Linked DNA regions of Mus musculus. The protein of the gene in region 6 purifies or fractionates together with the protein of the main gene of each other region. This does not show direct contact. Links are inferred from orthologs where the notes say so. Each region holds a gene or a part of one and is shown on either strand. Other genes may lie near its edges.

What was found.
Region 1: the proteins of Grb2 (region 6) and Pik3c2b purify together in Homo sapiens (affinity purification with mass spectrometry; 5 studies listed by BioGRID and IntAct, counting the BioPlex papers as one, with this or other methods). This does not show direct contact. The link is inferred for Mus musculus from reciprocal best matches to the Homo sapiens genes GRB2 and PIK3C2B.
Region 2: the proteins of Grb2 (region 6) and Map4k5 purify together in Homo sapiens (affinity purification with mass spectrometry; 7 studies listed by BioGRID and IntAct, counting the BioPlex papers as one, with this or other methods). This does not show direct contact. The link is inferred for Mus musculus from reciprocal best matches to the Homo sapiens genes GRB2 and MAP4K5.
Region 3: the proteins of Grb2 (region 6) and Myh9 purify together in Homo sapiens (affinity purification with mass spectrometry; 3 studies listed by BioGRID and IntAct, with this or other methods). This does not show direct contact. The link is inferred for Mus musculus from reciprocal best matches to the Homo sapiens genes GRB2 and MYH9.
Region 4: the proteins of Grb2 (region 6) and Ptpn6 purify together in Homo sapiens (affinity purification with western blotting; 4 studies listed by BioGRID and IntAct, with this or other methods). This does not show direct contact. The link is inferred for Mus musculus from reciprocal best matches to the Homo sapiens genes GRB2 and PTPN6.
Region 5: the proteins of Grb2 (region 6) and Wipf3 purify together in Homo sapiens (affinity purification with mass spectrometry; 3 studies listed by BioGRID and IntAct, counting the BioPlex papers as one, with this or other methods). This does not show direct contact. The link is inferred for Mus musculus from reciprocal best matches to the Homo sapiens genes GRB2 and WIPF3.
Region 7: the proteins of Grb2 (region 6) and Peak1 purify together in Homo sapiens (co-immunoprecipitation; 3 studies listed by BioGRID and IntAct, counting the BioPlex papers as one, with this or other methods). This does not show direct contact. The link is inferred for Mus musculus from reciprocal best matches to the Homo sapiens genes GRB2 and PEAK1.

Annotation. Positions count from the first base shown.
Region 1 is NC_000067.6:133,104,941-133,109,358, reverse strand, and holds the end of Pik3c2b (phosphatidylinositol 4-phosphate 3-kinase C2 domain-containing subunit beta), read right to left. Parts: intron 4,373-4,418; coding exon 4,244-4,372; intron 3,387-4,243; coding exon 3,201-3,386; 3' UTR 671-3,200; downstream 1-670. UniProt on the Homo sapiens protein: Phosphorylates PtdIns and PtdIns4P with a preference for PtdIns. Does not phosphorylate PtdIns(4,5)P2. May be involved in EGF and PDGF signaling cascades.
Region 2 is NC_000078.6:69,890,278-69,894,737, reverse strand, and holds the start of Map4k5 (mitogen-activated protein kinase kinase kinase kinase 5), read left to right. Parts: upstream 1-1,574; 5' UTR 1,575-1,977; coding exon 1,978-2,085; intron 2,086-4,460. UniProt on the Homo sapiens protein: May play a role in the response to environmental stress. Appears to act upstream of the JUN N-terminal pathway.
Region 3 is NC_000081.6:77,839,313-77,843,836, reverse strand, and holds the start of Myh9 (myosin-9), read left to right. Parts: upstream 1-1,661; 5' UTR 1,662-1,880; intron 1,881-3,080; exon of another isoform or gene 3,081-3,180; intron 3,181-4,524. UniProt on the Homo sapiens protein: Cellular myosin that appears to play a role in cytokinesis, cell shape, and specialized functions such as secretion and capping. Required for cortical actin clearance prior to oocyte exocytosis. Promotes cell motility in conjunction with S100A4.
Region 4 is NC_000072.6:124,730,349-124,734,698, forward strand, and holds the start of Ptpn6 (tyrosine-protein phosphatase non-receptor type 6), read right to left. Parts: upstream 2,807-4,350; 5' UTR 2,606-2,806; coding exon 2,598-2,605; intron 2,513-2,597; coding exon 2,390-2,512; intron 2,147-2,389; coding exon 1,952-2,146; intron 1-1,951. UniProt on the Homo sapiens protein: Tyrosine phosphatase enzyme that plays important roles in controlling immune signaling pathways and fundamental physiological processes such as hematopoiesis.
Region 5 is NC_000072.6:54,427,989-54,432,499, reverse strand, and holds the start of Wipf3 (WAS/WASL-interacting protein family member 3), read right to left. Parts: upstream 2,815-4,511; 5' UTR 2,640-2,814; exon of another isoform or gene 2,279-2,639; intron 1-2,278. UniProt on the Homo sapiens protein: May be a regulator of cytoskeletal organization. May have a role in spermatogenesis.
Region 6 is NC_000077.6:115,646,460-115,649,726, reverse strand, and holds part of Grb2 (growth factor receptor-bound protein 2), read left to right. Parts: intron 1-2,848; coding exon 2,849-3,017; intron 3,018-3,267. UniProt on the Homo sapiens protein: Non-enzymatic adapter protein that plays a pivotal role in precisely regulated signaling cascades from cell surface receptors to cellular responses, including signaling transduction and gene expression.
Region 7 is NC_000075.6:56,415,144-56,419,509, forward strand, and holds the start of Peak1 (inactive tyrosine-protein kinase PEAK1), read right to left. Parts: upstream 2,908-4,366; 5' UTR 2,798-2,907; exon of another isoform or gene 2,718-2,797; intron 1-2,717. UniProt on the Homo sapiens protein: Probable catalytically inactive kinase. Scaffolding protein that regulates the cytoskeleton to control cell spreading and migration by modulating focal adhesion dynamics. Acts as a scaffold for mediating EGFR signaling.

The DNA.
Region 1 (4,418 bases), on a different chromosome or scaffold from region 6:
AGGAACAATAGAGAAGGATTGACAATTTACTGGAATATCTTTCAAAGACTCCAGCTGAGATCATAAGAGATCACACCTTGGGCTGGAGAGATGGCTCAGCCGTTAAGAGCACTGACTGCTCTTCTGGAGGTCCTGAGTTCAAATCCCAGCAACCACATGGTGGCTTACAACCATCTGTAATGGCATATGATGCCCTCTATATGGTGTGTCTGAAGACAGCTACAGTGTACTTACATTTAATAAATAAATAAATCTTACAAAAAAAAAAAAGAGATCACACCTTGAGGAAGACATCTTTACTATGAATACTTCTGCCCCTCACCCCCTGAATATTCCTGTTTTGACCTAGAGGTCATGTCAGTATCCTGAGGATAAACTGGGGGGGGGGCGTGTGTCACAGGAACCCCTTCCTACTCTTTCCAATATGGCCACAGTGGACAAATCTCCCCGCCTTGCCTTTTGCCACCACTATCCCTTCAATGGGCGCCCCAGAACAGTGGCCAAGCCCAGCCCATTAGGCCTGCCAAATCAGGGCTTTCGCCCAGAAGCTTTGGTTACAAGCTGAAGACTGTAAGAATGTCCACTGTGGTGCACCGGGGCACCGAAACACACATCCCATGCTTTTACCTGAACACTTGCACATCCACCGATCTTTAATAATGATAGCTTTGTTTCTCAAATGTCGTTTATTAAAAAATACAATTCCAGAGAAAGTAGAAGATAAAGGAGTGTGGGAAGTGGGTACAGTACATAGACCTCTTTAAGTCAGACATAAAGGGTCAAAAGAAAATGAGCTGCAGGCAAAAAGCCAGCAGCTCGTCTATGGTCCAAACATCTGGAAGGTTCCATTGCTTTCCCGCTCTACTCTCCTGCCTTCATCAGGCTGCTTTATCCTTGGCATTTTAAAATTATGTTATCTGTGTGTATGTGTGTGCACATGTTGTGTAGTGCATATGAAGGACAAAAAAAAAAAAAAAACTAACTTGTAGGAGTTGGTTGCCTCCCGCCACCTTAAAGGTCTCAGTGATCAAACTTAAGTTGACCAGGCAAGTCCTGAGCCACCTCACTGGCCTGTCATTTTAAATTAAGGAGAAAATGGATGGGGCAGCTCATGTCTGTAATCTTAGCACCTGTGAGTTGGAAAGGCAAGTAGGTCAGGAGCTTAAGACTATCCTTATCTACATAGGAGTTTGAGGCCAACCTGGGCTATATGATACCCTCTCTCATAAAAAAAAAAAAAAAAAAAAATTAAAAACCAGAAGCAAAATAAACAACAACAAAACAAACACCTTTCTTGTTTCCATGTGGCTTCAATGGAGCTTTTCTCTCTCCAGAAATGGGGTCACAGAGAAACTATTTGCCTTGTCCTTGCTAACTCTTCATTTAAAAGTTAGTTCCCGTATAGAGGCAGAGGCAGGCAGAGTTCTATGAGTTCAAGGCCAGCCTGCTCTACATAGTGAGACACTGTCTTAAAAAAAAAAACATAAAAAGTTAAACAGAGTCCCTAGCTGTTACCTTTAAGACGAGACAACTCTTTGGAAACCCAAGAGAGAGAAGGGTGAGAAAGGAAGAACGCAAGGTGGACTGGAGACGAAGCTTGGTGGTGCGGTGCAGGGCTTGCCTGGCACTCAAAGGGTCCTGGGTTTGATCCCTAGCACCACATAAGGAAGCCAAATAAGCCAGGAGATGGTGGCGGCAAATGTCTTTAATCCCAACACTTGGGAGGCAGAGGCAGATGGACCTCTATGTTCCAAGGCAGCCAGGGCTACACAGAGAAACCCTGTCTTGAGGGAAGGAAGGAGGGAAGGAAGGAAGGAAGGAAGGAAGGAAGGAAGGAAGGAAGGAAGGAAGGAAGAAAGAAAGAAAGAAAGAAAGAAAGAAAGAAAGAAAGAAAGAAAGAAAGAAAGAAAGAAAGAAAGAAAGAGGTTGAAATAATCTTTTGTTTGTTTTCCAAAGAGGAAGCTGCTCCAATCCAGCCAGGAAAATATCCAGAAGAAACAACTGCATTGACCAGGGCTCACTCCAGCCCACTCTGCTATGGGTTGGGCATCTCTTTGTCTATGCCCTATACAGCTTTGTGACCCTACAGAATGAAGCTCTTTTTAAAGTGTGACAGAAACAGGGTTTGAAGAGAAAGTAGTAGACGGTCTCAGGGGACATTTCCCAGAAGCTGCAGCAAATGGCACGACGTGCCTGCCCTACAGGCGTGGCTAGAGCTGAGGGGTAGCAGCATTTTATCCCATCAAACAAGATGGGGCACAGAAGCACCCCAGTGCATTCTCCAGGACGGGGTGACCCATAGCGGGCCGAGAGAACACAGGGGTAGAGGGGACAGGAAGGCGCCTGAGCTGAGTCCAAGCAGAGGGGGAAGAGGAGAGGAAACACTTTGCCCTAAAGAGCACAGGTCCCTGAATCTAGGTCCTTGGCGGAACTCTACAATGGAAGGCCCTTCCTTACACATGTAGTTTTCACGATGCCCTCCTTTGGAGGCAAAATCAGATGGCCCAGAGTGGGCGTCAGTCCGGCTGTCAGTTAGTCCTCCCCACCCCTCCCCAGTATGCCCGAGAGAGGGAGGGCTTTATTGAGGACCCACCGGGGCCCTCCCCGATATTTCCTATAGCTAGAAAACAAACCCCCAAAAATCCTGGAGAAAAAGTCCAATAAGAACTCTCATCATACAAAAAACCAAACCAAACCAAACCAAAACAAAAAAAACAAAACCCAAAAACCAAATAGTCTTTCTCTTTTGCCTTCCCAGGCATGGCAGGCCCCTCTCACACAAAGCTTCCTGTCCCAGTTAGGACAACATTACTATTTCATTTTTTAAAAATAAAAATAAAATATCCACCCACCCTCCCTTTCTAAGTGCTACTTCATATAGCCCGCACTCCACATACCCCAAAGCAGGCATTGCTCCCTTGACACAAGGTAAACATAAAACTCTGCTGCAAGCCCACAGCTTCTGGGGGCAGGAGAGGGGGGCTGTTCAGCACAACCCACCCCAGTGCAGCCTGCGGAGGAAGGGGCAGTGGATAGCGCTTGACTCTTCCAGCCCCCTCACGGAGGTCAGGTCCACATGGACCGTGCGTGGGGAAGGCCACCGAGGGTTCTGCTCCTTCCTAGCAAAGGAGTTAGGTGGGGTAGAGGCTTCTCTTCCAGCTCTGGGCCGCAGCCGCAGGTCTGGGCCAGGAGTGGGTTCATTAGGTTCCATGACCTCGAGAACCCAGTCCAAACCAGCCGGTCTTCTCCTGGGCCAGGTCCAGCTCCCGAAGGCGGATGTGCACCTCCCCGAGAAGCAGATTCTCCCAAAATCCTTGCTCACTCAGCACACTCAACTGTAGCTCCCGCTGCTGCAGGTCTCCCTTGGGGATCCCATCATATACCAGCTGCAAGCATGGGCATTGGGAAGAGAGGCGAGCGTGAGACACAGGGAACTCAGAAAGAGATGCTCCAGTCCCTAGGGTAGCATGTAGCCCAGGCCGGCCTGGAACTCTCAGCAATCCTGCCCGTGCCTCTCAAATGCTGGGATTATATTTATTGGAGCTTCTGATCATTCTCCATACAGGGCAGCAGGCTCCCTCCTCCTCATATTATTAGGGCCCAAGTCCCATCTGGGGAATTGCAACTCTAAGGGTTTAAAAGCTGTCATCATAAAAGGAAAGGGGCAGGTATAAATACATGGGGACTGGATAAGCAGATAGGTGCTTAAGAGTGCTTGCTGTTGGGACTGGAGAGATGGCTCAGAGGTTAAGAGCACAGACTGCTTTTCCAGAGGTCCTGAGCTCACAACCATCTGTAATGGGATCAGATGCCCTCTTGTGGTGTGTCTGAAAACAGCTATGGTGTACTCACATAAACTAAATAGATAAATCTTTGAAAAAAAAATGCTTGCTGTCTCAAAATTCGAAACTGCCTGTAACTCCAGTGGATCAGATTCCCTCTTCTGGAAATCATGGGCACATTTATTAAAAAGAAAAAGCACAGTTCATATCACAATTGCCAAGGCCGTCACTGAGCAGAAGGTAGCAATGAGCAAGTGTGACTAACTTATAAGAAGGGACGGCTGGTTGCCAGGTGTCCTGCGGCACCCCTCTAGAACCCCAGCACGCAGGAGGAGCAGGAATTTGAGGCCAGCCTTGGCTACCCATGGAGCTTGAGTCTCGAAAACCCAAATAAATAAATAAATCATCCAAAAAGCGGCTTAAGACCCTGCCTACCCTTCACACCCCCATTTTCCACACACCATCTCATTGTAGGTAGGGTTGCAGGTTTTCCGGGCCACCTTGGTTTTCCTCTTTGTGGTTTTCTGAGGGTCAGGAAGGAGGTAAATCTTTACATAGGGGTCAGGGTCATTGCCATCCTGGAGCGGTTGCTACAATGGAACACAAACAGAAGTTGAAGGGTCCAGGCAGCATCTT
Region 2 (4,460 bases), on a different chromosome or scaffold from region 6:
ACAACACTGGCCCTCCAGGTTGACTATCCTGCGGCCAGTGTGGTGGAAGGCCTTCAACCCATGAATATCCCACAACGGCCTAGTCACACAGTGGGTAAGGGTGGGTTTGACTACATGACCACCATAAATCCATGACAGTAAACAAGTACTAAGATACCAATAGAACACTTGAAGAGATTTTGAGTCATCGAAGCCAAAAATATGTGCCCACCAAAACAAGTGCCAAGAAGATTTCAAAGAAGGAACTGTTCTTCAACCATTTTTTTTTTCAGTGCAGCACACACACAGGCTTTGTCCCTGGGGCATGTAAGTCTGGGCTTACTTATGTTCCCTAAATAAGTGCTCTTTGTGTGTGGATCACGAGAAAATGCATACAGTCTCTGTTCCGTTAAGGTGTTAATTTAATTTCTTCATTTATTAGCTATAAGAAGTTATTTCTCAAAACAGAATTAGAGTGTGTCTGGAGTCACGTGTCATCTGAAATTTGTTCTGTTGTCGTTTTTTTTTCTAGTTTTTTCAATTTTCTTACATTTTTATTTAATTTTGTGTTTTGCCTGCATGTACAGCTGTGCACCATATGCATATGTGGTGCCTACACAGGCCAGAAGAGGGCGTTGGCCCTCCCTCCCAGCCCACTCTGGATCCCAAGTTGGAGTTAATGAGGAGTGGGCCGCCACGCAGGTGCTGGGAATCAACCTCTGAGCTGCAGCCGGTGCTGCTAACAATTGGGCCATCTTTCCAGTCCTTATCTGGTTTTCCAACTGAAAATCTCTGTAAGACTCTAGAAGTAACTTTACCAGTATACATAAAATTGGCAACTTCATTTCTACCTTAAGAACAAGACTGGAACTCAAATTACAAAAGAGATTGAAACATTAACCAAATCACTTCTCATAACTCCTGCCCAATATTTTGGGCATTGTTAGTTAGGCCTCTTACATTTTAAAGCCTCTTACATTTTACACTCCTCTTTACAATGCTGTAAAAATGGTTTACAAACATTTCTCGGGTGTCAAATGCAAAACCTATCCTCTTCCAGCTACAGATAAGGACACTGGGATGTTGCCACGTATGCCTTGTCCCAGATCACCTACTTTGGAAGCAGAATCAGACAAAGGTCCCTAGCTTTGCTTTAGCATCTCTAAAACTCCTCCCATTAACACTTGCAATATTGCGGTGATGCCCAGAGACCACAGAAACTTCGAAAGGAATTGGGGTTTTCAAAAATGGCTCTGGGAAACCCTGGTGGAAGACAGGTTCTGCAGGTGTGCGGTCCAGCCTCGGAACTGGTACCACCGGGAACAGTGTGTGGAACAGGACGGTGCAGTCGGGTGTGCCGGCATTTAGTTAACCCGGCACTCCCCCACCTCCTGCCCGGGCGGCCTCAGTTTACCTGTACCGAAAGGAAGCAGAAGGCAGCGCTCCGGAGGCCTGCGGACAGACCCTCCTCCTCTAGTCCGCCGGCCACTGGGCGAATCCTGGCCGAGGCTGGGCGGGTCAGACGCCGCACGAACGCCTCCGGCGCCCCGCAAGCAGCTGGGAGGCGGGGCGCGGCGGCGTCCAGGGTGTTGTGCACTCGGCGGGCCTCAGGGCGGCAGTCTGGGCCCGCGGCCTGCGTTCTCGGGCGGGCCAGGCTCGATCCGCGCCGGCCGCGAACGTGTCTCCCGGTGACGCAGCCGCGGGTGGGGAACGTGGTGCGGCGGCGACTGTGCGCACGGCCGTCTCGGAGAAGACGCGGGTCTCCGACGCCGGCGCTCGGCCAAGAACGGACGGCCTCTCGGGTACGGCCGGCGCGGGGCCTGGCGGGACCGACGAGGCCCGGAGGCTGCCGGGGTTGCGCCCCGTGACGCCCCCCGCGCTCGCTCTCGCCGGTGCAGGCGCAGCTGCGAGCCGAGGCTCCATGTTGGGAAGCGCCGCGCGCCCTCGTTAGCGGGAGACGGCTGCGGCGGGCAGAGCCCCGGACTGGGCGCAGCGAAGATGGAGGCCCCGCTGAGGCCTGCCGCCGACATCCTGAGACGGAACCCGCAGCACGACTACGAGCTGGTGCAGAGGGTCGGCAGCGGCACCTACGGGGACGTGTACAAGGTGAGGCCCCGGCCCGGCCTGCGAACGTGGGGCACCCCCGGGATGCGCCGGACCACAGCGTCCGGCCAGGAAGCGGCCCGGAGCCCGCCGCACCGTTCCGAGCACCCTGGGTTCCCCATCGGTTCTAAGGCTAGCGACCGGCAGACTTAACCGCACCTTCCAGACCACGGCTGAGCTTTTTTTGTGGTTTTAAGGCGTATTTATGGTATTGAAGTTATTCCGGAGGATGGTTTGGTGTTGATGTGGGGGGAAAATGCTTCGCGGAAGGCGGTAGATAGGAAAGAGTATTGTAAATCTAGACCTTTGCGTCCTGTACTGGTTTGGGTGAACTTGCCTTGAAAAAAATCTCTGTGGAACCGGACTCTAAATTGTCAACTGTAAGTAATCTGGTTCTGGAGTAAAAGGATTTGTGTGTAAACATGACAGCCTGTAGGAAGATGTCTTTGGGGACCGGTGAGGTGGCTCAGGGTGTTAAAGGCCCTTAGAGCCAAACCTTACTTAGGACCCCAGAACGGTCCCCGGATTCTCTTGGTGGAAGCACGGATCCCCCACACATACACACTCACACACTCCCAGGAAATAAACAAAGTGTAATGAAATTTAAACATATTTAGAGGAAGACCTTTGTCACCTGGCAGAAGTTTAGGCATTTTGTATCTGGTTGATAATAATGAATATAACTTATGGGGTTTTCCTACTAAACTAATTCCTCTCTATGGGATTTATAGCATTCCATAATCATGAGTGGATAATTACTGCTACCCTTTTTACTGGTCTCTTATATTAAGACAAATAATAATAAATTTGTAATCTGCCGTTACACAACAACAAAAAACATGCCATAGCAAAGCAAACCGATTTCTTAAGTCTGCTAAGTTTTTGAAGGGTTCAGAGGAAAACACTGTCCAATATTCCCTCATGGCTTTTGTTCTTTGTCCCAAAGGGGCAGAGTTAGTGCAGTTCCTTATGGGGATTAAGAAAAAGCTTATTTTTGACCTGGGTGTTGGTGGTGCACGCCTTTAATCCCAGCACTCAGGAGGCAGAGGCTGGTGGATTTCTGAGTTCAAGGCCAGCCTGGTCTACAGAGTGAGTGCCAGGACAGCCAGAGCTGCACAGAGAAACCCTGTCTCTAACACCCCCCCCCCCAAATAAAAGCTTATTTTCCTTTTGCAACAGCTTGATATTTTGACCTATGTATGTATCAGTATGTTCCAAACAGCAATCTGCATAGAGCCCTGATGGCTGTGTTTCATGAGTAATTGCTTGACCCCACTGAGGTATGTTGACTTGCACAGGTATAATGCAAGGAAAACATCTCTTTTCTCTGCTTGTTTTTGAGTAATTTTTTGCTGAGAGTAGTACCTTGGGGTGATGGATTCTGAGGTAAGAACTCTGGGTAGGCTTTTTACCCCTGAAAACGAGGCATTTGGGCCCAAGCAGACACTGTTCTAGCAACCGAGCAGTGCAGCAGCAGTGAGCAAGGTCCTGACTCTGGCCTCGGTTACCTTTGATGCAAAGTGCACAGTTAGAATGGAATCCCCTTCCTTATGGAAAGTTAATGGTAGCTAGCACAAACGTCTCTATTTGCTCATTACCCATTTTAGGAAATGCTTGCTCTTTAAAAAACAGAAACTCCTGTTTGCTTTCTTGGTCCCATTTTAAATCATCTTTGTCTTATGATTCACTGAAAGTTAGACCAGTTCAGTTCCGTTCATAGTAATTATACAATACTCTAAATTCTAGCTTTTGCCCCACCCTACCCCCTTTTTCCCCTGGTACAGAAAATTTAAAGGGAGTATTTCCCCCACACAAGGATCTTGCTAAGACCTCCACGGTTTTCTTTTCAGAGCAGCTCTCTGGAAGGACTGCATCCTTCCTTAGGAAAGCAATGTTTACATTAAAAGGACAGCTGTCTGCCTGCCTGCCTGCCTGCCTGCCTGCCTGCTTGCCTGCTTCTTCTTACCCAGCTGCTTCCTGGTCCTGCTGCTCACTTCCACAGCTCAACAGACATCAGAGGCTGAAAGCTTCCCACCCCACCTGGGCCTCCCACCTTTCTCAATCAAGCTCACGTTATCACGTGTACTTGAGGGCTAGGCCAGCCTCTGAGTCCCACGCAGCCTTTAGACACTCGTGTGCCCTTCTGTTTGGTGTGTTCTAATTCCTGAGGATCACCTCCCTCCCCCATCCTCCACCTGTTGCCACCATTGCTGTCTAGGAAAACAGTTCTTGGTTCTAGTAAGCCCCAGCCCCTCACCCTGACCCCTAATCTCACCCACCACTCTCCCTCTCCCTTTTGCTCTTACCACACTGGCCTGCAGGCTTTCCTTAAACAACAATAAGCATCTCCTCCTTTGGAGTCTTTGTTCTTGCTACTT
Region 3 (4,524 bases), on a different chromosome or scaffold from region 6:
TAGTAAATAGAGCCAAGGACAGGCGTGCTTAGCGGGGACTGGCCCTAAACTCATTATGTAGCCAAGAGTAGCTCCTCCTGCGCCTCCCTCTGCAGCGCTGAAATCACAGGTGTGTGCTACAGGCCTAGTGGAGCCACTTTCCCAAAGTGGTTGGAGAAGCGCATGCGTATTCCTGTCAGCACCTGATGAGCTCCACCTCCTCACCGGCTCTAACAATGCTGGGCTTTTTTTTTTTTTTTTTTTTTTCCGAGACAGGGTTTCTCTGTGTAGCTCTAGCTGTCCTGGAACTCACTCTGCAGACCGAACTCAGAAATCTGCCTGCCTCTGCCTCCCGAGTGCTGGGGTTAAAGGCATGGGCCACCACTGCCCGTACATCTCCAGTCTCTTGATGATTAGTTTTAAAAGTAATTATTGGCTTTATATATTTCACACCTTTGAACTGCTTGTCTGTGTAGTTCAGGCTAGTCTTGAACTCCCCCTCCTACCTCAGACCTCTTGAGTTCTGGTATACCACCCACAACCCCTGGATGGTTCAGCCTTTTAAAAATTTTTTAAATTTTTCTTATCAACTGGGAAGCAGTCTTTGCTGTAATGTGGGTAGCAATCACTGGTCATCTGGGCTGCAAAATCTCTTTCTTTCTTTAGCTGCTTTTTGGCTTCAGAATGTAAGTTTTCCCTGAAGTTTATATGGAAGGATCATTTTAACTGTGTTAGCAAGAACATTCCAACAGTTAAGAGCAATGACGAGAAATTTGCCTTCATAAAGCCATTTGAAAGCATTGACGTGCTGCAGGATCGACCACATAGATCAATGGACACAACTCGGAAACGGACAATTTGGGCAGAAAATAATGCGTGGACAAATTCCTGATAGATTAATGGCAAAGTACATTTTTTTAAATGAAAAAAAAAATCCTCTCGTGGTTAGTAACCAAAATAAAACAAATGAAATCTACCCTTAAAATAATTTAGTGACAAATATCTGAGATGTGTGTGAGTTAATTATTCAAAGGTTAAGAGTGGCTTAGACTGCATTCCAGGCAGAGGTACTAGCCAGAGCAAAGGTTCAGAGGTTGGAGGACAGCCGCGAGCAGGCTCCAAAATCGAACTCAGGACGCCCACACGGAATGCAGGGTTGAAGCCATGACCGCCCCCACAGCCATCATAATTATGTAAAATACCACTTTTCCCATATATGGTACTTAATATCTGTTCTCCTGGTAGGACAGGACGAAGGGAAAACACGGTTCGCTGGGCGGAGTGTCAGAGCCTCAGACCTCCCCAGTACGCTCCCTCCGGCCCCGGCGCGGCCCAAGCTGCACACCAGAGCCGGGACCAGGAGCCCAGCGCGCCTGAGCCGCTTGCTTCTGATTGGATGAAATCCGCGTCAATCCTGGTCCTGTAACCTGGCTGTCCATTGGACCCGCCCAACAAGGCGTGGCTCCCGCCTAGGAAGCGCGGGTGGAAGGTGGGGTGGGCGGAGGTGGGGACAGATGGGGAGGATGAATCTCAGCACTCCGGCTTCCATCTCTTGTCTGTTTATAGGCCGAAAATCTGTCAGTTTAGGCCAGACTCCTGTTGGATTGGGCAGTGTGGGGAGAGGGCGGGGACTCTTGGAAGCTCCACCCACGAGCCGGCGGCGAGCTGTAGACCCGCCCTCCTCTTGGAAGGGCGGGGCAGGGAGGGCGGCGCGCACCAGAGCTGGGTGCGGTGAGGCGCGCAGATCACCGCGGTTCCTGGGCAGGGCACGGAAGGCTCAAGAACCTGACCTGCTGCAGCTTCCAGTCTCGCGTTCGCCCCACCCCGCCGCGCCGCCCGAGCGCTCGAGAAAGTCCACTCGGAAGAACCAGCGCCTGTTCCCCGGGCAGACCCAGGTTCAGGTGAGCGAGCTTTGCCGGTATGTCCCGCCCCGGAGCTGCCGAGCGCGCGCGCGCGGCGACAAGACTCGAGTCCTTTGGGGCGGACGGCCCTGTGGTTCTCGGCCTCCGCGTGGCGGGTTTCAGCGCGGTCGGGTGCGACCGGACTCCGCATCCTCACCCGAGGGGTGATAGGCAGCGAGGCCTCGGGGTTAGGGAACCGGGGGACGCAGTCCCCGGCCCTACAGGATGCCCTTCCCGGTCGGGGCACTGGGAGCTCGGCCTGCTCCTGTCGCCTCTGCACTCCCGCCTCCCCGACGGCCAGCTCCGGCAAACTTTTTAACCCCTTCCGGGACGCAGCAGTCCCGGAGATCTCGGCCGAGCCGGCCGGATGCGTTCGTGGGCACGGGGCAGCAGCTCCTTTGTAAGTTTGGCAAAGGGAGGTAACGGGCAGGCGAGGACCGCTTGGCAGCTGTCAGGGCGTCCTCCTGAGTCAGGATCGGTCGGTCCCGCCGCAGACATTGCGCCCGGCACGGTTTCCGCCGTCCGCTGCGGACTTCCTCATTTGTCCGTCAGCCCTTGGGCCGGGAGGGGGCGGGGAGAGGTACTCAGAGTGCGTGGGAAAAGGGGTCCCAGCTGCCGAGGGGCTCAGGGCGCAGGAAAAGAACCCCCCCGTCTGACCTCATTCAACCTTGGATTTCTATTGCCCGAGGTCAGAAGGCCTGGGTCTGCCGGCAGCTGCCCCGTCGCCCGGGCAGGCGTGCACCTGATTTCCACCGCACCTTGGGACGCCACGCCCGGGCCAGTCTCTGGGAGCTGGCCCTGACTTTAAGACCAGGCCGGGCAGCCGCATCTTTTATGTTTGATGAGAGGCGGAGTTTTGAAGACATCCCCCACTTCCTTGCACTAGGGTCTTCACCTCATCCTGTTCTGGAGCCACGCCTAAGGCAGGAGCTGCACCCCGCTCCTCCGGGTCCCCATCTCTCCCAGGCAAACTGAGTCAAGTACCCTCTATGACTTGCTTGCGGGCTGTAGTGAAACTGAAGGCTGGGTGGGCTCGGGCGGGTGCCTAAGGCCCCACCCAGCGGTGTTAGGGAAAAGGTCCCTGGGAAGTCCCAGGTCTTGGAGACCCGGAGGCTGCCTCGGCTGGGCTACAGGGAGGTCCATCGAGTTCTCAGTTCTCTGAGCGGTTTTCTGGATTAGCAAGATTTCAAAGTAACTTGCGTGCTTCCTACAGCAGCACCTATACCAAAATTGGAACGATACAGATTAGCATGGCCTCTGCGTAAGGATGACACGCAAATGCATTGAGTTCCGTATTTTTTAGCCAACGCAGACTGGCCCAAGTATCTCTAAGAGTGGCTCACTCTCAAGCACGACTTAGGAGGTTTCTGCCTCCCAAAGGACTCCCTCCTCTGCTGTATGCCAGCCAGTCAATCTCAGGACCTCCATCTAGAACTCTCAAGCCACTAGGCAGATCTGTAACCCGCCCCGGAGCCCCTCCTAAGCCTTGACCAAGTGAAAATAAAGCTTTTTGAAACAGCAAAAATAAATAAATAAATAAATAAATAAATAAATAAAAGGTAACTTGTTCACAGAAACATTGTAGCCATTTCTGACTCCACTGTCTAGAGTCCAAGCTGATAACTTCACCTGGAGGCCTCCCTCCCTTTCTATTAAGGAGGCAATTTGCTTGAAGCCCCGTGTAGACAATCACTCAATATCAGTCAATTTATATACCAGGTTGTTATAGGTGGGGGTAGGGGGGAAGGGCCTATAGATGTGTAATTGAGCAAATATTTAACCGGGCTTCTGCCAGGGACTTTGCCAGGTGGTGTGTGTGGGGGCGGGGTGGGGTGGGTGTGAATTGAGTAAGACCTGGCCCCTGCTCACCGGCACTCTGAGACAAACCAGTGACTAGTGTGAAGGGGAGATATCAGGAACCCCAGAAAGGTACTGTGAGGCATTGGGCTACCCTGGGAGAGCCTGCTGGCCTCCTGAAGAGACTTGTGTTCTGGGGAAATTTGAAGGCATTAAAGAGTGGAGTGGTAGACTAAGATACAAAGACAGCTTGTGCTGTGTCCCAAACTAGCCACAGACAAAGGACTCAAGGAATTCCTAGGCTCAGGGGGCCACTGCTGTCCAGGGCAAGCAGGGAAACCACCATGAGGAAGGAAGACATTTCAGGCTTGGCAAACCGAGGCAAACGCGTGGTGAAGGAAAGTGGGGAGTCATTTAGTGGATAATTGGGGAGTAGTTAAAAGCATCGAGGGATTGCTGAGTGTAGTTTGAGAGGCAGTGTGCTTGCTGTGTGGGTGACACCCCAGAGCTTTGCTCCTACTGCACTCAGCAGGTTTTAGACGGCCGGGGAGGTGGGCAGAGCCAGGTTCCCCTCAAACTAGCATTAGCAACTTGGGTTGGGAAGTATCATCTAGCCCTGGGTGGGGAAGGGAAGCAGAGAGTAAGGGACTCATAATGGGGCCGCTGGTCTGTTTTTTGTTTTTTGTTTTTTTTTTGAGACAGGGTTTCTCTGTATAGCCCTGGCTGTCCTGGAACTTTGTAGACCAGGCTGGGGCTGCTGGTCTGAAGGGCAGGAGAAGAGGGGGGAGAGAGTCAGGGACTCACAGTGGGGCTGCTGGTCTGAAGGGCAGGAGAGGGGAGAGGAAAG
Region 4 (4,350 bases), on a different chromosome or scaffold from region 6:
ACCACAGGCAGAGAGTTCACTATTGAGGGGACAAATGCAAATTTCCCAGAAGAGGAGGGGCAAAGAGAGGAGCCATTGGGTCATGGCTTCCACACACACTAAGGTTAGGGATGAGACAGCTTCTTCCCAAATGGCCATCCAAAGTGTCCCTTGGAGTCCTCCGCAGCCCTGTCAGAGGGTATCATCCACAGGGTGTCCTGTGCTTCCCCACTGCCCTGGCCTGTTCTCCTAACACCTGTTTAGCTCCCACCTCCTTCCTGATCACAGGGAACACTGCAGCCACCATTCAGCTGTACCTCCATGGTCTACTCTAGCAGGGCGCATCCTGGCTTGAGTCAGCAACAAAGAGAAAACAAGGGGCTCAAAGCGAATCTGAGAGAGAGGCCAAACCATCCTGAGGGCTGCAGGTAGGATAGGAGAGGAGAGACAACCTGGGGCAGGCCCTCCCTTCCCACTCACCAGCAGAAGAGGAAAGCCTTCTAGGGAGTGTCCTCCAGCTTCTTTGTTTGTTTGTTTGTGGTTTTCTTTGTGTTTTGAGGGTTTTTTTTGGTTGGTTGTTTGTTTGTTTGTTTGGGTTGGAGTTTTTTTGTTGTTTTGTTTGGGGGTTTTGGTTTTTCAAGACAAGGTTTCTCTGTGGAGCCCTGGCTGTACTGGAACTTACTTGATAGACCAGGCTGGCCTTGAACTTCCAGACATCCACCTTCCCCTGCCTCTTTTGAGTGCTGGGATAAAAGGCCTATGGTACCACCTCCACTCCGCTTGTTTTAGTTTAAGTCAAGGTCTCATGGAGCCCTATCCGGCCTCAAACTTGCTATGGAATGGAGGATAAACTTGACCTTCTTCTGGTCTTCCTGCCTCCACCTGGGCTCACAGGCACGTGTCACTCACACTAGGTTTATGCACGACAGGGAATAGAACCCAGTGTTTAATGCATGGCAGGCAAGCACTCACCACCTGAGCCACAGTCCCTAGACCTTCAGTCCTCAGTTTTAGTCAGTAACTTGTGAACAAAACTATTGAGCTAAGTTTGTAGGCACGAATCTCAAAACAGACTTTAAAACTGCGTGGAAGGTAGCTAGTGGCAAAGCGCTCACTCAACTCAGACAAGGCCCCGGGTTCAGGCCCCAGCAGAGAAGGGTGTGGGGATCAAGTTCGGAATCATTTCAACTGTAAATACACAGACACAGGACAGGAACAGGTACGCAGAGCCCCAGAGTCCATAAGAAAACCCTGAGTTAATAGGGGTTGCCAGTCAGTCCCTGTGCTATACAGCTAAGACGAGCCCCAGTGTAATGAATGAGGGACATTTATCTCCATAACCTTCCCTTTGCACATGCTCTGAGAAGACCACAAGAGAACAGCCAGCCCAGCTATGGGGGCCGTGTCTTTGCAGCACTAGTTGGGGATATCCTGAGGGTCTCCTTAAGTCAGATAAGCCTGGGCCCTTCTCTACCTGTGACCACCTCAGCGACCTTGCTTTCACCAAGCTCTGTCCAGCCCCACCTCAGTGTGATGCTGAGAGAAGTCCCTGAGTACCCCAGTACCAGTGGACCTCTAAGACCTTATTAAGACAGGGACCTAGAGCCCCAGGCTGTGTAGAGGGCTGGAAGAAGGCACCAGAGTTCCATGGTAGGACAAGCTTTCTAGTAATAGGGCCGACCTGATGAGAAACACCAGAGACAAGGAGTGGCCTCTCTGTTACTCTCAGGATGAGGTTGCTAGGCAGCAGGAACCCTGCAGGAAGGCAAGGGGAACCCTTCTCTGGCTTCCTCAGGGGACAGGGGATTGGTTAGATACATGGGAATCATCAGCCTACAGAGGGAAGAGGCTGAGAACACTGAGAGAACAGGTGTGGAAGATCAGGGATGAAGAACGGACTGGGAACAGAAGGACACCTGGTCTGGATGTCCACTTATCTCAAGGGACAGGGCCAACCTGCAATGCCCCTCACCTCTCACTGGTGGGGTCCGAGCAGTTCAGTGGGTACTTAAGGTGGATGATGGTGCCATCTCGGTCCTGCAGGATGCCCTGCTGCTGCGTGTAATACTCGACCAGCTCTGTCAGCGTCGCAAACTTCTCCCCTCCGTACAGGTCATAGAAGTCCCCTGAGTTCTGGATCCGAATATGAGTCACCTGATCATCCACCCTGCGAGGCACCACCAGGTAGTGAGATACATGAGCAGCAGCGGGGTGGGCTTGGGGGGACAGGGGTCTCGATGCAAAAGCACATAGGCATGGAGTAGACATAGACAGTTATGGGCACATGCTAGGGCGACAGGCAGGGACAGAAGGGAAGAAATGTATCATGAGGAGACAACACAACCCAGGGAACCCAGGAATGCTCCGGACCCACACAATGAGCTGCCAAGGTGCAGGGAGGGCCACCCACCTGACTGAGAGGGAGAAGTCACCCTGGTTCTTGCGGCTGGGCCGAGCCAGGAAGCTCCCAGGGACTCCCCGGCCCTTCAGCAGGGTCTCTGCATCAGGCCCGCTGAGGTCCCGGTGAAACCACCTAAAAGTGCACAGGGCAGTGAGGGAATATCCCCAGGGCTCCAGCCACCCTTGTTTCCTATCCTCCATGGGTCCCAGGCCCTTACCTCACCATCCTGGGGTTCTCACTGAATTGGCTGCAGAAAATGTGGAGGGAACAGTTTGTCTGGGCAGGCACGTACAAACTCTAGAGATGAGCCTCAGGCAAGGCTCTCAGAGCCCAGGCCTCCAAAGCCAACCTGCAGTCCTGCTCCCCGGGCTACCACTCTACTGGCCTGGGGCAGCCAGCAGGGCGGAGACAGGAAGGGGCGCGGCCGACCCCTTAGGGGAACTCACTAGAACTTCTCTTTTCAGAGCGAGGGAAGAGGAGCTGGAGGGTGGCAGGGTGGGGGAGGGCCCACTTCCCACAGTCTGCCAACAAAGGCACAGGGGCAAGGCAGTAAATATTCATGACTCAAGAGGTAAGGCACACGTGTGGCAGGTCAAGAGTCACGCACAGTGAATATCCACATTATCAGGTCAACCCTTCCTCCTCCAGCAGCTGCCTCTACTCAGAATTATTCTTAGGCACAGTCTAATAATGATCGTGTGCAGTGGCACCGTCATTTAATGGAGTGTCGCAGCCTGCCAGACTCATTGCTACAATGTCATTTTCATGCCTCCTGTGAGTTACAGGTCACCAGGGCCTCATTCCTCAGGCACTATCTTTATCCCCACTTCACAGACAAGGAAACTGAGGCCAAGAAGTTTGAGGAATTGCCCCCAGGTCTTACCCTTAGTGAGTTGCAGGATTCAGACCTAAATAGTTTCAAAGCCAATGACTTTTGAATTCTGCTTGCCAGCCCTCAGGACCCAAAGAACAGTAGTCAATAGACTCCTTGTCCAAAGGAGATGCTATCATCACAGCTGAGAGCCCCCACAAAGCAACCTTGTGCAGCTCTGTCATCATGGGCCTAGGCCTCCTTCCTATACCCTGACTGTCAGCAGGGAGGGGTGGGGTGGGAAGGTATCTCCTAAAGGTTAGGGTTTATGGCCAGGGTCCCAACAAGGGCAGACGCTCACAGGGAGGGCTTTAAACTTTAGGAGCGCTCAGCCTTCAGGCTTATGGGACCTTGTGTATGTAAACCCCAGGATGAATACAAAAAAAGATGCAAATACTACCAAGCCAAGACCAGAGGGGAAACAAGCTGCCCAATTTATATTGGTATCTTCCTTAGCAAGGGACACAGGCTGCTGGAGAAGGGAGATGGGACAGAGCACCTTATATCTTTTAAGGGTTTATTGTCTGAGGTGTTTTGATTGGTTAGTTTTGGTTTGTTTGTTTGTTTGTTTGTTTGTTTGTTTTATAATACTGAAATTAGAACCCCAGTCCTAGCTGGGCATGGTAACCCATGCCTTTAATCCCAACACTTGGGAGGCATAGGCAGGCAGCTCTCTGTGAGTTTGAGGCCAACTTGGTCTATACAGTGAGTTCCAGGATATCTAGCGCTATATAGTGAGACCTGTTTCAACAACAAGAACAACAAAACCAACCCAGACTCTCAGTCCCTTAAACAGTGTGAGGAGCATCCTTGGGCAGGCATCCTTGGGCAGTGTACATCTTCCACCCTATTTCTTTTCCTTATTCATTTGATTCCCTTCACACTTCTGCAGTCCTAGGGTTTGAACTTAGGACCTCAAACTCGCAAGGCAAAGGCTCAACCACAGAGTCACACCCCCTGTTAGTTCTCTTTTTACTTTTTTGGAGATAGGGTCTAGCTAAATTGCCCAGGCTAATCTGGAACTCACTCTGTAGCCTTGAATTTGTAATCTCCCTGCCTCCACCTCTCCAGTAGCTGGAGGTTGCCACCACATCTGGCT
Region 5 (4,511 bases), on a different chromosome or scaffold from region 6:
GTGTGTGCGCGTGTGTGTGTGTGTGTGTGCGTGTGTGCGTGTGTGTGTGTGTCACTGAACTTCTGGAGGTCAGAAAACAATTTGCAGGGTCAATTCTCTCACCACGTGGATTCTGAGGGTTGAACTACAGTTTTTAGGCTTGGCACAAGCTCCTTTACCCACTAAGCCATCTTGCCTGCCCTTTAATAGATGTTTAAACTTTAGCACTGATATCTATTATATCTGTCAAGCATAGAAGGCAGGGAAAGTTGAGGCTACCTGGTGAAAACCCTGTCTGTTCTTCAGTGCTAATTGCATTTGATGTGGCGGCTCTCTCTCTCTCTCTCTCTCTCTCTCTCTCTCTCTCTCTCTCTGGCTCTATTATCCCTTTTGTGTGTGTGTTGGAATGACTGCAAAATCTCAACCTGTACTCTACGGTTGCTGAACAATAATCGCCTAAAAAGAGCGTTGCCAGGCTGGGCCAGCTGGCTGTCTCCCATTCCTGAAACTGAATGTTCTTAGACACACGCGCTCTCCTCCGCCCCTTCTGCTGCCTGCTGACTCAGTGTAGCACCAAGTCACACTCCCAAGTGCCTGAAACCGAGGCTCCTGGAAGGACTAAAAAGGGGTATACAGCAGCTCTACCAAGGCAGCCTGACATCTCTGCGCAGATTTGGGCACCAACAATTGGATGTGGGCGGTGCACTTCCAGTTTGAAGTGTACAGACCCAGGTCCCTGTCCTCGGCACACTCAGCTAACCCCTGTCTCTTTGCATTTCTCATCTGTGGAAAGGCACAATAGTTACAGGAACCACAGGGCTTGAGTTAATGCATATGGAAGCATCTACAGTGCCTGGCCATTTCCTGCTACTTCCCCACTGGTTTTCTCTCCCCTGTCCTTCTCCCTGTTTTCCTGATTTGGTTTTGCTTTAAAATGCATCTCTAAAGTACATTAGCTGGCAGACTTCAGCAGCCTGTGCCCTGCCATGCCCAGTGCCCTTCAGCATCAAATATCCACTTACGTTGTTATTGAAGTAAAAAAAAAAAAAAAAAAAAAAAGCCCCAAGTGATGTGCACAAGTCTAAAGCACACAACTTCCTGAGTTTCTATGTATGGGGAGCATGTCTAGACCTAAAGTGCCTTGAAGGTCTGCCCAGGCCAGTAGGAAGCCCAAAGGCAGTCCACTTCTGACCTCTACCACTACTTTACAGTTTAGAGAGGACAGCTTTTAGGAGAAGGCTGGGACTGGACAGGTAGTTTATCAGTGGAAACTCTGATCTTGTAGAACACTAGGACTCATTCCCAGCACCCACATAGTGGTTCAGGGACATTACATCCTTAACTCTAGTCCAGAGGATCCAGTGCCCTCTTCTGACCTCTAGGGGTTTCCTGGCACAGAGTCGTGCATAGACATACATGCCCGAAAAATACTTACATAGAAAGTAAAAGGAGTGAACATTAAAAACAAGGCTAGAGTGTCTGATGATTATAATACTAACTGGCAGCAAGAAACCCTCTCCTGGCCCTCTCTGAGGTGACGAAGGCAAAGACAGTGAGGCACACAAGCTTTTAAAGTCACACAAGTCTGCCCAACAAATGCTCTCACTTACATCCAAGGACCCCAGGCACAGAAGAGGAATACCACTGTCCCACTGGAAACTTTCCTCAGAGAGTCCCCAGACTGTGTGTGTGTCAGAGATACTTCTGGTTTTTCCTGAGGCCATTAGACAGGCTTCCTGGGTTTCTGGGCAGAACATCTACCCAACTCAGGTTCTCACACTCATGGCAGACACTCCAAGCACACAGAAGACATTGTTTCCACAGGGGAATGGATGCCTGGCATCCTACAGGAGAGCGTGTTCTTCTCCCAAGCTTGCTCCCCGTGAGCTCCTGGCTAGGTATCCGGGGGAATGGCCACAATTACCCAGTCCCGCACACCTCCAAAGGACTTTAAAGGCCATTTGTGGCCAGATGTAAATGGCTAGAGATAATGGATAGACAGACACATACACTCTCTGGCTCCTGACCTAGGCAGGCTTACAGATAAGCCTCGGGGAGTCAGGACTCAGCTCCTGGCCCGACTCTGTCACCAGGAACTGTGTGACCTTGGATAAGTCACTTTTTCCCTCAGGAATTGGCTTTCTTTCTGGGAAATGGTCCAGTATCCTCAGTCCTTGTCTGATTGTGCAGGTTCCCAGATCTCTCCTAATCGCCAGGGACCCTTCCTTAACATCCCCAACACAAGCAAGATCCGCCCTTTTGTTCTCAGGGGAGGGGTGGGGGGTGACGTGGGGGAAGGGAAGCAGAGCCCCCTTGGGGCATCAGACTAAGAGGCCTCCGTGCCAGAAGCTGATAACGGAAGAGTGCTGTCCTGGGAGGTCACCAGGGAGCCCTGAGGTGACCTGGTGTAGCCATGGTCCCTTTCCGACCCGTGGCGGGCAGGGAGCGAGTGGTTGCCGCTAGGGCTGCACGGAGCAGCTCCCAGACGTAGTCGCGGCTGGGGACTACAGTTTGGAGAGGGTCCTGGGCACTCTCACTCACCCAGCGTCTTTGACAACGCGGGAGGCCACTCTACCTCGGGACTGTCCCCAATACCCTCCGCGACAACCCCAATCGGCCACTTACTTAACCCAGGGCCCGGACGCGAGCAGAGCAGCTACCTGCAGCTGGCCGTAACCCGGCCGACTGGACTTTAGCTGGCGCCTCCGTCCCCGCTGTCCCCGTCGTCTCCGTCGTCCCCGTCGTCTCCGTCGTCCCCGTCGCCTCGAGGATCCCGGCTGGGCTGCAGACAGTGCCTGGCGTTGCTTCTGCGCGCCCGGCTAAGCTGGACTCTGCGCTCCTCGCTCGCTCCCAGCCGGGCTTAAGCGCTGCCGGGACGCGGAGGCGGAGCCGCCGCCCCCACCTGCTCCTGGCGGCCGCCCTGGAGCCTCGCCGCCCAGCGCACGGGGACGCGGTCCAGAGGGCGGGGTCGCTCTGGCACCCAGGAGGCGGTCCTGGCTGCGCGGCGGCGCAGCTCCCAGGTACAGAGTCCCGAGTGTGAGCCACGGGGACAATGGGGCCAAGGGCTGGAGTTCCCCTGCACGCCACCTCGTCTATATATTACAAACATTTCTGAGCCCTCGCTAAGCCCCAGACAGCGCGTATATGCAAGGGGACAAAAGGAGAATGGGACAGCCGGTTGTCCCGATGAGCACAAGCAGGTACTTACAATACGGAGCCAAGAGAACATCCAACGTGTACAAAGCAGAGGGACACCCAATTCAGACCTGGGCTTGAGAGGCAGGGGTGGGTGTGTGGGTGGAGAGAGCTGGGGGGCGGGAGGGGGAGGTAGAGAAGCTTGCTCTCAGAGATAGGTGAGCACAAAATATCCTGGTAACACAGGGAGGTAAGTAGCTTCCGGTGGGGCAGAAGTGGGAAGAAGGCAGTTTGAAATCTAGAGTGAAGCGAGTCTGTCCCATTTCCCTGTCCGGCTGTCCAGAGCTTGGAGAATGCTGGAGATTTATGCCTGAGGCTCCTGTGTACACTCAGCTGCTCCAAGTGCAGCAATTCAGGCTGGCATTTCCTGCCTCTCACATCTTAGGCATACTTGTGTTCTGGTTCGAAAAGGAAGGAAAGCTCAATTTGCAGAGAAGAATTATTTCCATGGCCATGTAGAAATCCCACCAGGTCTTCTACGGAGCCCCAAAGCACAAACTAGTTGCATGGCCAGTCATTTATCTTACAAGCTGGGCGGTTTCTGGAGGATATACTAATTCAGCTTTTTAAATGCTTGATTCAAAGTGATGGTGTCTGCAGAGTGGGGCTATTTGGGGCTGAAAACATCATGAAGTTGTTGTGTTCAAGAACCCAGTGTCTCATGGCACAAGTGGTCCTTCTTGCATCCTTTTTCTCTGGACATTGCAACAGGATTCAGTCTCTGGGAGCCACGTTCCAAATACCTAAGCCGCTCTCCCCATCGTCTCTATGGACAGAATCCAGAGTGATGACCAGTTAAAGACTAAAGACTATAGTGCCAGTGCCTTTCCTGATCACCGAGACTTTCTTAGCACACTAGCTGAGTTCAATTCCCAGTACTACCAAAAGAAAACAAAGCAAAGCCCCTCAAACAACAACAACAACAACCATAATAAACCTTATCAAAGTTAATATAGTAGGAATAGATGAGATAGCTTGGCTAGTAAAGGCACTTGTTACCTGGCGACCTCCATTGGATTGATAAATTGGAAGTGGGAGTTGTGTGTATCTGTGTGTCTGTCTGTCTGTCTGTCTGTCTGTCTGCCTCTGCCCTTCCATTCCCTATTCTCTTTATGCTTCAGTATCTAGTGATGCTACACCTAGATTTTAACCAAGAAACAACTAATGTGTTACCACCACTATCTACAACAGAGTAGAAGATGGAGACAGTGTGGTGTTGCTAAGCACCTGAGACAAAGCCAGCAGCTATCCAACTCTGGTCTATTTATTAGATGGAAAAAAAAAATGCTGTTTGTATAAACCACTGATATGGGGGCTTCTCTCTCTCTCTTTCTTTC
Region 6 (3,267 bases):
ACTGGATTGTAAGGCTGTGGGGAAGATGTTAACACATCTTTTCCTGTGGAAATCCTAGTGTTTGCTCTAAGGCCTAGTTGTAGCAGATCTGAGGTTTTAGGTTTGAAGTGTCATGAACCTGGGGGAGCTGGCAGCACTCGAGGCGGCTTAGCCCCACTCCTCACCCGCCCTGCCTTCACTGCAGTTTCTGCTGCACTTACGGTGACCACGTGCGCATCTCCACTCCTGGTGTTCACCTGGACCCAACTCATGCTTCCCAGGAGCCTAGAGGGGCATTTTCTCAAAAATCCAACTAGGAATTGCGCATGATATTACATGCCTTTAATCCCATCAATTGAGAGACAAAGACGGGTGGATCTCTGTGAGTTCCAGGCCAGCCAGAGTCACACAGTGAGATGCTGACTAAAAAAAAGAATGGCTTTGCCCTGTCTGACCGATCATCCTTTCCTAGTTAATGGGTTACTACAGAAGCCCACCCCAAAATTCATCTCTTTTTATAAAATTTTTTTTAAAATATTTCCTTCATTTACATTTCAAATGCTATCTGCTTTCCTAGTTTCCTCTCCGAAAGTCCCCTATACCCTCCCGCTTCCCTGCTCCCCAATCCACCCACTCCCACTTCCTGGCCCTGTCATTCCCCTATCCTGCAGCATATAATCATCTCAAGACCAAGGGCCTCTCCTCCCATTGATAGCCAACTAGGCCATCCTCTGCTACATGCAGACACAAGACACAAGCTCTGGGGGGTACTGGTTAGTTCATACTGTTGTTCCTCCTATAGAGTTGCAGACCCCTTTAGCTCCTTAGGTACTTTCTCTAGCTCCTCCATTGGGGGCCCTGTGATGACTGTGAGCCTCCACTTCTGTATTTGCCAGGCACTGGCATAGCCTCACAAGAGACAGCTATATCAGGGTCCTGTCAACAAAGCCATCTGCTTTCCTTCCTTTGCCTGAACTACTCCAAGTAGCAGTAAAACAGCTCAGGGAGGGAGACAAGTCAGTAGGTAGGGGCTGGACCCTTGGGCAGGACTGGGCCGTGATGTAGTGAAGACAGCAGGAAGGCCAGCTATTCCTTCCATCAAAGAAAACCATCTAGGAATGGAGACCTAGGGCATCAGGTAGGGTTATAAGTTCTGGGTCAGCCTGGGCTACATGAGACCCAGGCTAATAACACAGCTCAGTGGGTAAAGGTGCTTGTCGTCCAGCCAGGTGACCTATGTTTGATTCCTAGGACCCACATAGTGGAAGGAGAGAACTGATTTCCACAGGAGTTCCCCTGACCCCTGCCCATCACACACACGCATATCTAGAGAAGTGTCCTCTTAAAGTTAAACATTTAAAGATGTTAATACGTCATCACTTTAGGAATAAAATATAAGAGGTAGCTGGCTCGGTTGGTAACTACCACGAAACAAGAGGATCTGAGTTAGGGTCCAAGGGCAGATGCTAGAGAGGGAGATCGTGTGGAGCTGTAGCCAGCTAGCCCAGCCTTACCATGGAGCTCCGGGGTCAGTGAGAGGCACTTCAGACAGCCAGTGTTGACATTGGTTTCCACACATGTGCACATACATGTGCTTTCACACCCCATGGACATGACACGTACACAAGGAAAACATGAACTACTGCCTGCCTTTAGCGAAGCATCTTCACAAGGGCTTCCATCAGCACCAGACTCTAAGATAGCACACAGTTTCGAGATCTTGGGAGTCTGGTGGGAAGATGTGGTAGAAGTGACCCTGCACTTGGGAAGCAGGTGCATCCCAGAAGGCTCTTGGGCCTTTGGAGCCTGAGCCACAGTCCTCTCAAAAGCACCTCCCTTGCTGCTCAGGGAACCGCAATGAAGTCGCTGGGTGCTTGGTTTTGCTTTCCTCCGTTTCAGTCACCACAAGCCAGCTGGAAGTTCCAGAAGTAACTCCTGGATTTTAGATAACTTTTATGATGGCATATTGTTGAAATTGTTTCAGTGAAAAATAACTTTATCAGACTATATGTGTCTATAGGGGAAAACAGTGCATCTGGAGTTTGGTATCTGGTTTCAAACTTGCCCTGGGGTTTAGAAGCACTGGAAGTCCAGTGCTGCCATCTGCTGGTTTGTCTTTAGAACCACTTTAAGAGACTACTGGAAGAGATTCAAAGGCTTGGCAGTGAACAGGAATCAGAAAGAAAAACAGTAAGAAAATTCCTCGGTAGCCGGGGCGTTGGTGGTGCACGCCTTTAATCCCAGCACTCGGGAGGCAGAGACAGGCAGATTTCTGAGTTCAAGGCCAACCTGGTCTACAGAGTGAGTTCAGCCAGGGCTACACAGAGAAACCCTGTCTCGAAAAAAACAAAAAGAAAGAAAGGAAGGAAGGAAGAAAGGAGAAAAGAAAAGAAAATTTCTCAGTGAAAAGCATAGCTTTGGCATACCTGTAACCTCAGCAATGGGAGGCTAATGCAGGGATCACCAGATCACCATGAGTTCTAGACCAGCTTACACAGTTAGTGAGCTCAAAGCCAACCTGAGCTAGTGTTTGACTATCACCCCACTTTTTGAACTGTTAAGGCAGATAAAGCTGTAGCCTCACAAGTGGGCTGTGTTAGTAGATCATAGACATCTGAGGGTTAGCCTAGTGGGTGGGCTTCCACTGTGTTACTCCTGTAACTAGTCATCAGCAATCAGGAGGGGCTTAGGGGAGGCTCCTGGGACGGTCTGCATTCTCTCCAGCTGGATACTCAGGGTGCTATGAAGCTCTTGTGACCCCAAGCTCTGAAAAGCTATGCCTGACAGAGAAGTTCCCTGGACACCTTCAGGTTTGAGGCAGCCCTGCAGAGCCCTGTGGCCGCTTCATGGTTTTTCTCCCCATCCTCAGGTTTGGAAATGATGTGCAGCACTTCAAGGTGCTCCGCGACGGAGCCGGGAAGTATTTCCTGTGGGTGGTGAAGTTTAATTCTTTGAATGAGCTGGTAGATTACCACAGATCAACATCCGTGTCCAGGAACCAGCAGATATTCTTACGGGACATAGAACAGATGCCACAGGTAAGCAAAGAGCTTTACTCACTTCCAGCAAGTGTGAAGGCCCAGGCGTGACACCACAGCGACTTCCTGTGTGCTCAGGCCGACCTCATGGCAGTGAGGCTCTGCAGTTGGCACTCAGGTGGTTGAGTCCCTGTGCAGCCAGCCTGTGAGGGATGCACTCAGTCCTCCTCACGTATGAGCAGGAGTTCTGGTTAGGACTGCCTCGTTTACAGCCCGAGTGAGGGAATGCTGAGAGTGTGTTCAAACCTGT
Region 7 (4,366 bases), on a different chromosome or scaffold from region 6:
CCTGTCCTATATCACACCGTATTATAACCACCGGTTACCAGCTAGCTCTCCTCCTAAGGTATAAGCTGCTGACAAAAACTGCATCATTCTACACATATTCAGGTCCTAGCACCAGGCCTAACACTTTAGAAGACACTCAAATACTTGTCTTTTGTCAGACAAATGTGAACTTGGCCTGAAAGTTACAACAATATTTGAATTCTCCAAGGAAAACCCAGCTAGCAGGGAGGCAGCCTGTATCAGAAGTTCTAGACTGGGGCATAGGAATCACAGTAAAAGACAAATGAGAAAATAAAGTTCACATCCACACTTGCCTCTTACACTGAAAGAAAAAAAAAAAATGGGGATTAGCAAAAGTGATATGGAGCCTCAAACTCACACTTGGCAAGCCAGGGGCCACAATGTGGTTCCTAAATTGCTTTAACAACCCATCCAACAAAAGAGTAGGATTTGGCAGGTTACAACACAAACAGCTAGAGCCCAGCACCTGTTCCCCTTAAATAGCACATCATTACGGTTAAAAACAACAACAAATCTCTCTCCTGAAGCAAATGCTAATCTCATGATGCTTCACCATGGAGCAATTTAGAAGAGTTATTATATGAAATGTGCCAAAGCCTGAATTTATGGCTGATACTTCTTTGGCAAATATGGTTGGCACTGCTGGCTGTTAAAAGGCATGTATGCAAATAAGCAAATAAAAGTTTTTAAGCTCTCCGACTTAAATATTTACATTACCATAAATGTACAAAGATAAATGTTTATATGCATTCACATATAATGCATTTCAGGAACGTACTTTTTAATGTGACTGTCAGAAAACAGTTATGAAGTGGCATTATTTCTTTATGGGCCTCAGGACAGACTCTTAAAAATAAATTCTGACAGAATGTTAATGGGGTTTAAACACCACTGTGTAAGTTTTCTGCACTATTACTAAACAAAATGAATAAGCAATACCCTAACAACTCAATCAAGCTTATCTTTTCCTCTCACCAAAACACGCCTTACAACACTGGAAACTAGCCAAACATAAATGTCAGTCCCTAAAGAAAGGGTGGGAGAAAGGAGGACCACAAATCAAAAAGCTTTAAAGAAAATAATTTGCCATTTTCCCCCACATAACATAGTCATACTACTCTCTCCCAAATAGAGACACGATAAAATATTTTCTCTTCTTCCCCTCTGACAACTCTGGGGAGGGGATCTTTGTTTTTTCACATAGTTTGTGACCTGATCGTTGCCAAAACTCACTTGCAGTAGTATGAACTCTGCTTCCATTGTTAACTGTTAATCTCTGTGATAAGGCTATTAACTCCTAACTTGGAAGCCAAGAAAATGTACCTCACCTGCAATTATAGTTTACTGAAAAAGTCACCAAAGAAAGTGCCAGGCACTTTGGAAAGTAATTAGGGTAGTCAGTGAATTGAAAGATCTAAAATGCTCTGAGATTACAAAAGAAGCCATCATGAAGTGAGTATCCAAGATTGCTCATGGAAAGTTTTACCCTTGTGGATAATTCAAGTTTGGGCTTTCTGGGTTTTTTTTTTTTTTTCCTCTTTGCAGAGAGCAATATGTGTTCTCTTGACTACATACTTAATTTGCCAAGGTAGATAAAGGGAGGACAGTGTGGCTGAAAAAAAAAAAGAGAAAGAAAGAAAAGAAAGAGAAAGAAAGAAAAAGATCAAGTCAACAGATAGGCCACCAAACAGAATACTCAAAGCAATTCCGACTCAGGTGAAAAAGCAGTTCATGCACATCATCCAGTGGCTTAAAAATAGTCTTTTATGTAAGTCACCAAGTATTTAATTGAGAGTGTACTCTTACCACATTCAACAGAGGCAAAGAAAAATGTACTGGGTTTTCTATAGTAAGGCCAATAAAGATGAAATCATAGTTTTCCTCTAACTCATCTCTATCCTTCAACACCAGCCATCCAATAACTCCATTCCACAGCTCTGGTTCCTCAATTTGGGTCCTTAAAAACTGGACTGCAGACATGGGGCCTGGGGGAGGGGGACTGGAGGGCGGACTACTCTTTGATATTGCTCTCAGCAGTCCTTAATGAAGTCCAAGAACAAAATCAAGCTCTCCAACAAATGGAGCATAAGATGGGGGATAACGAGAAGGGGACCCAATTCAGATGGGTAGTCCTCTTCGAAGGAGGAAAGGAAATTGGCAAGAACCCATAAGCCAAAGGGCAAAGAAAAACAAATGTCTAACCCAGCCTCTCAAAATCCCAAACCCCTAAGCAACCTAGGAAGCCTGCGCACATTAGGGGCTCCCTGGCCAGAGCGTAAAGTGAGCAGGCACAGAGCCACCGGTTCCGTCCTGACTGCTGAGGCAAGGCTGAGCCTGATCCTCCAAAGTCTGGGAGTGAGGCGACCATACAGACTAGGCAGAAGCCCTTCTTGCCCCAGCCTCCACATCTCCAGCTCCTCTAAGGCTTCACTTTCCCCTGGAGCCTCGCAGCCCAGCCCCGGGAAGTCCCTAGCCGCCAGGTTCCAACTTTCCCTCCTCTGGGGGGCGCCGCGCTCCCGGGACCATCGCAGCCAGGGTAACGAGGCCTGGGCCGGTGGGGGGCATGAGAGGGCTCGCGGCGCCCGCGGGGCGCGTGGGTGGCCGGGGCACTGCAGCCCGCGCCCCGCAGGACGCACGGGCTGCCGAGCCCCTGCGGCGCCACCCAGTCCCGATCCCCCCTAGGTCCGCGTCCTCACCTCTCGGCGACCCTGGCCCCATAAGCCAGCGCGTGTGGGAAAGGGACCGGAGGGTACGTGGGCAACCCTGCCCCCGTTACCTGAGGGGAGCACAAGCCGTTGCGATATTCAGCATTGCCTCCTGTCCCGTCCCCTTTCTGGTGATCGCGGCCGCCTCCACCGAGCAACTGACACAACTAACTAACTACTCGCGGCCGCGGAGTCCACAGCGCGCTCCCGGCCGCTCTCCGTCCGCCCAGCCCACCAGTCCGCTCGCTCCTCCCAACCCTGCACGCCGCCCCGCCGCGCGCACCCTTGCCGCTTCACTTCTTCAGACCGCGCGCGCTCGCCCGCGCGTGCCCGCACCAAACCTCGGCGGTCTCCGAGCTCTACTCTCAGCCCCATGGGAGGAGTTGACAAGAGGCCACGCCTCCCTGAGTGCCAATATCCGGAGAACACGAGCTAGAGAAAGTCTGATTGGCTGAGGGGTGGAGCCAAAGCCAGGGGGCGGGGCGGCAGGGACCTTGAGTCCATGTGACGGGGAATTTGGGTTCAATTAAACGCCAGTGGAAAGAAACAGCGCAGATTTGGATTTTTTTCGGGGCCGAATCACCTTAAGTCAGCCATTCGTCTAGTACAGAATAACTATCCTCTAAGAGTCCAGTATACAGTAATTAAAATTTAAGTCCCACTATTTTTTGAGAGCCTTAGCAATGAAAATGAAAACTACATTTCCCAAGAACCTTCGCGAAAGTGTGTCTCACCTTGCGTGGTCACGTAGTCCTTCGCCGCATTGGGCAAAATAATCCCTTCATTTCTCTGAAAGTATCGGGTATAACATTTCACGTCTCTCCTCAACGGAACAATTCTCAGTATTACCACGTTAAAAGAAGTTACCTATCTGGAGGTGACTAAGTGATTAGGTAAAGAGTAAGAAAAGACACCAAAATAAAGTACTGCGGAGGAATTTCTGTCAAGCTGTGAGACGACGGAGTGAAGAGTGAAGGCGATTGCGAGGGGCTGAGGGAATTGTCCTCTGTGCAAGGGACTTTCATTAGTCCCCAGGCCCCTGCCTGCTCCTGCCGTCAGCAGGTTAGTAAGCAAGACGAGCATGGGGGTGGCAACAGTCGAGATGTCCTTCCCCCTTTGAAGATCATCCTTCTTTTGCTGCTGCTGTTATTGGTTTGTCTTGGTTTAAGGCCCACTGAATGGGGGCGCCTCACTTCCGGTTGGGGGAAGGGAGACATGCTGTCATAGGGGAGGGGGAACTGTAACTCACTTCCTGTGGGGGTAGGATGATGTTTGGGGGGTGTCCAAGCCACTTCCCGTGTTGATGAGAGCCAGAAAAGGTGTTGGTTTGTGCCATTCTCAGAGAGAGTTCCTACAGCCTTGGGGTTGTATTTTCACGTCACAAGTTCGGTTATTTCCCCAAATTATGATAATCACCAGGCCACGATCAGAATTTATGTATTTTGTTTCTGTGTGTAAATTGGAAAATCTCTCCCCAGCAAGATTGTCTTAATGCTGTCTCCAAAGAATTTTAAACACCTTGTTAAAATTCTCTGCAAGATTACATACTTTGTTATGTGACTTGTGAATTGCCCACCCTTGCACCCAAGTCAAGCTTGTCCTTAACTGAGTGAAGTAGTGTAGGCTCTACCTAGACACGG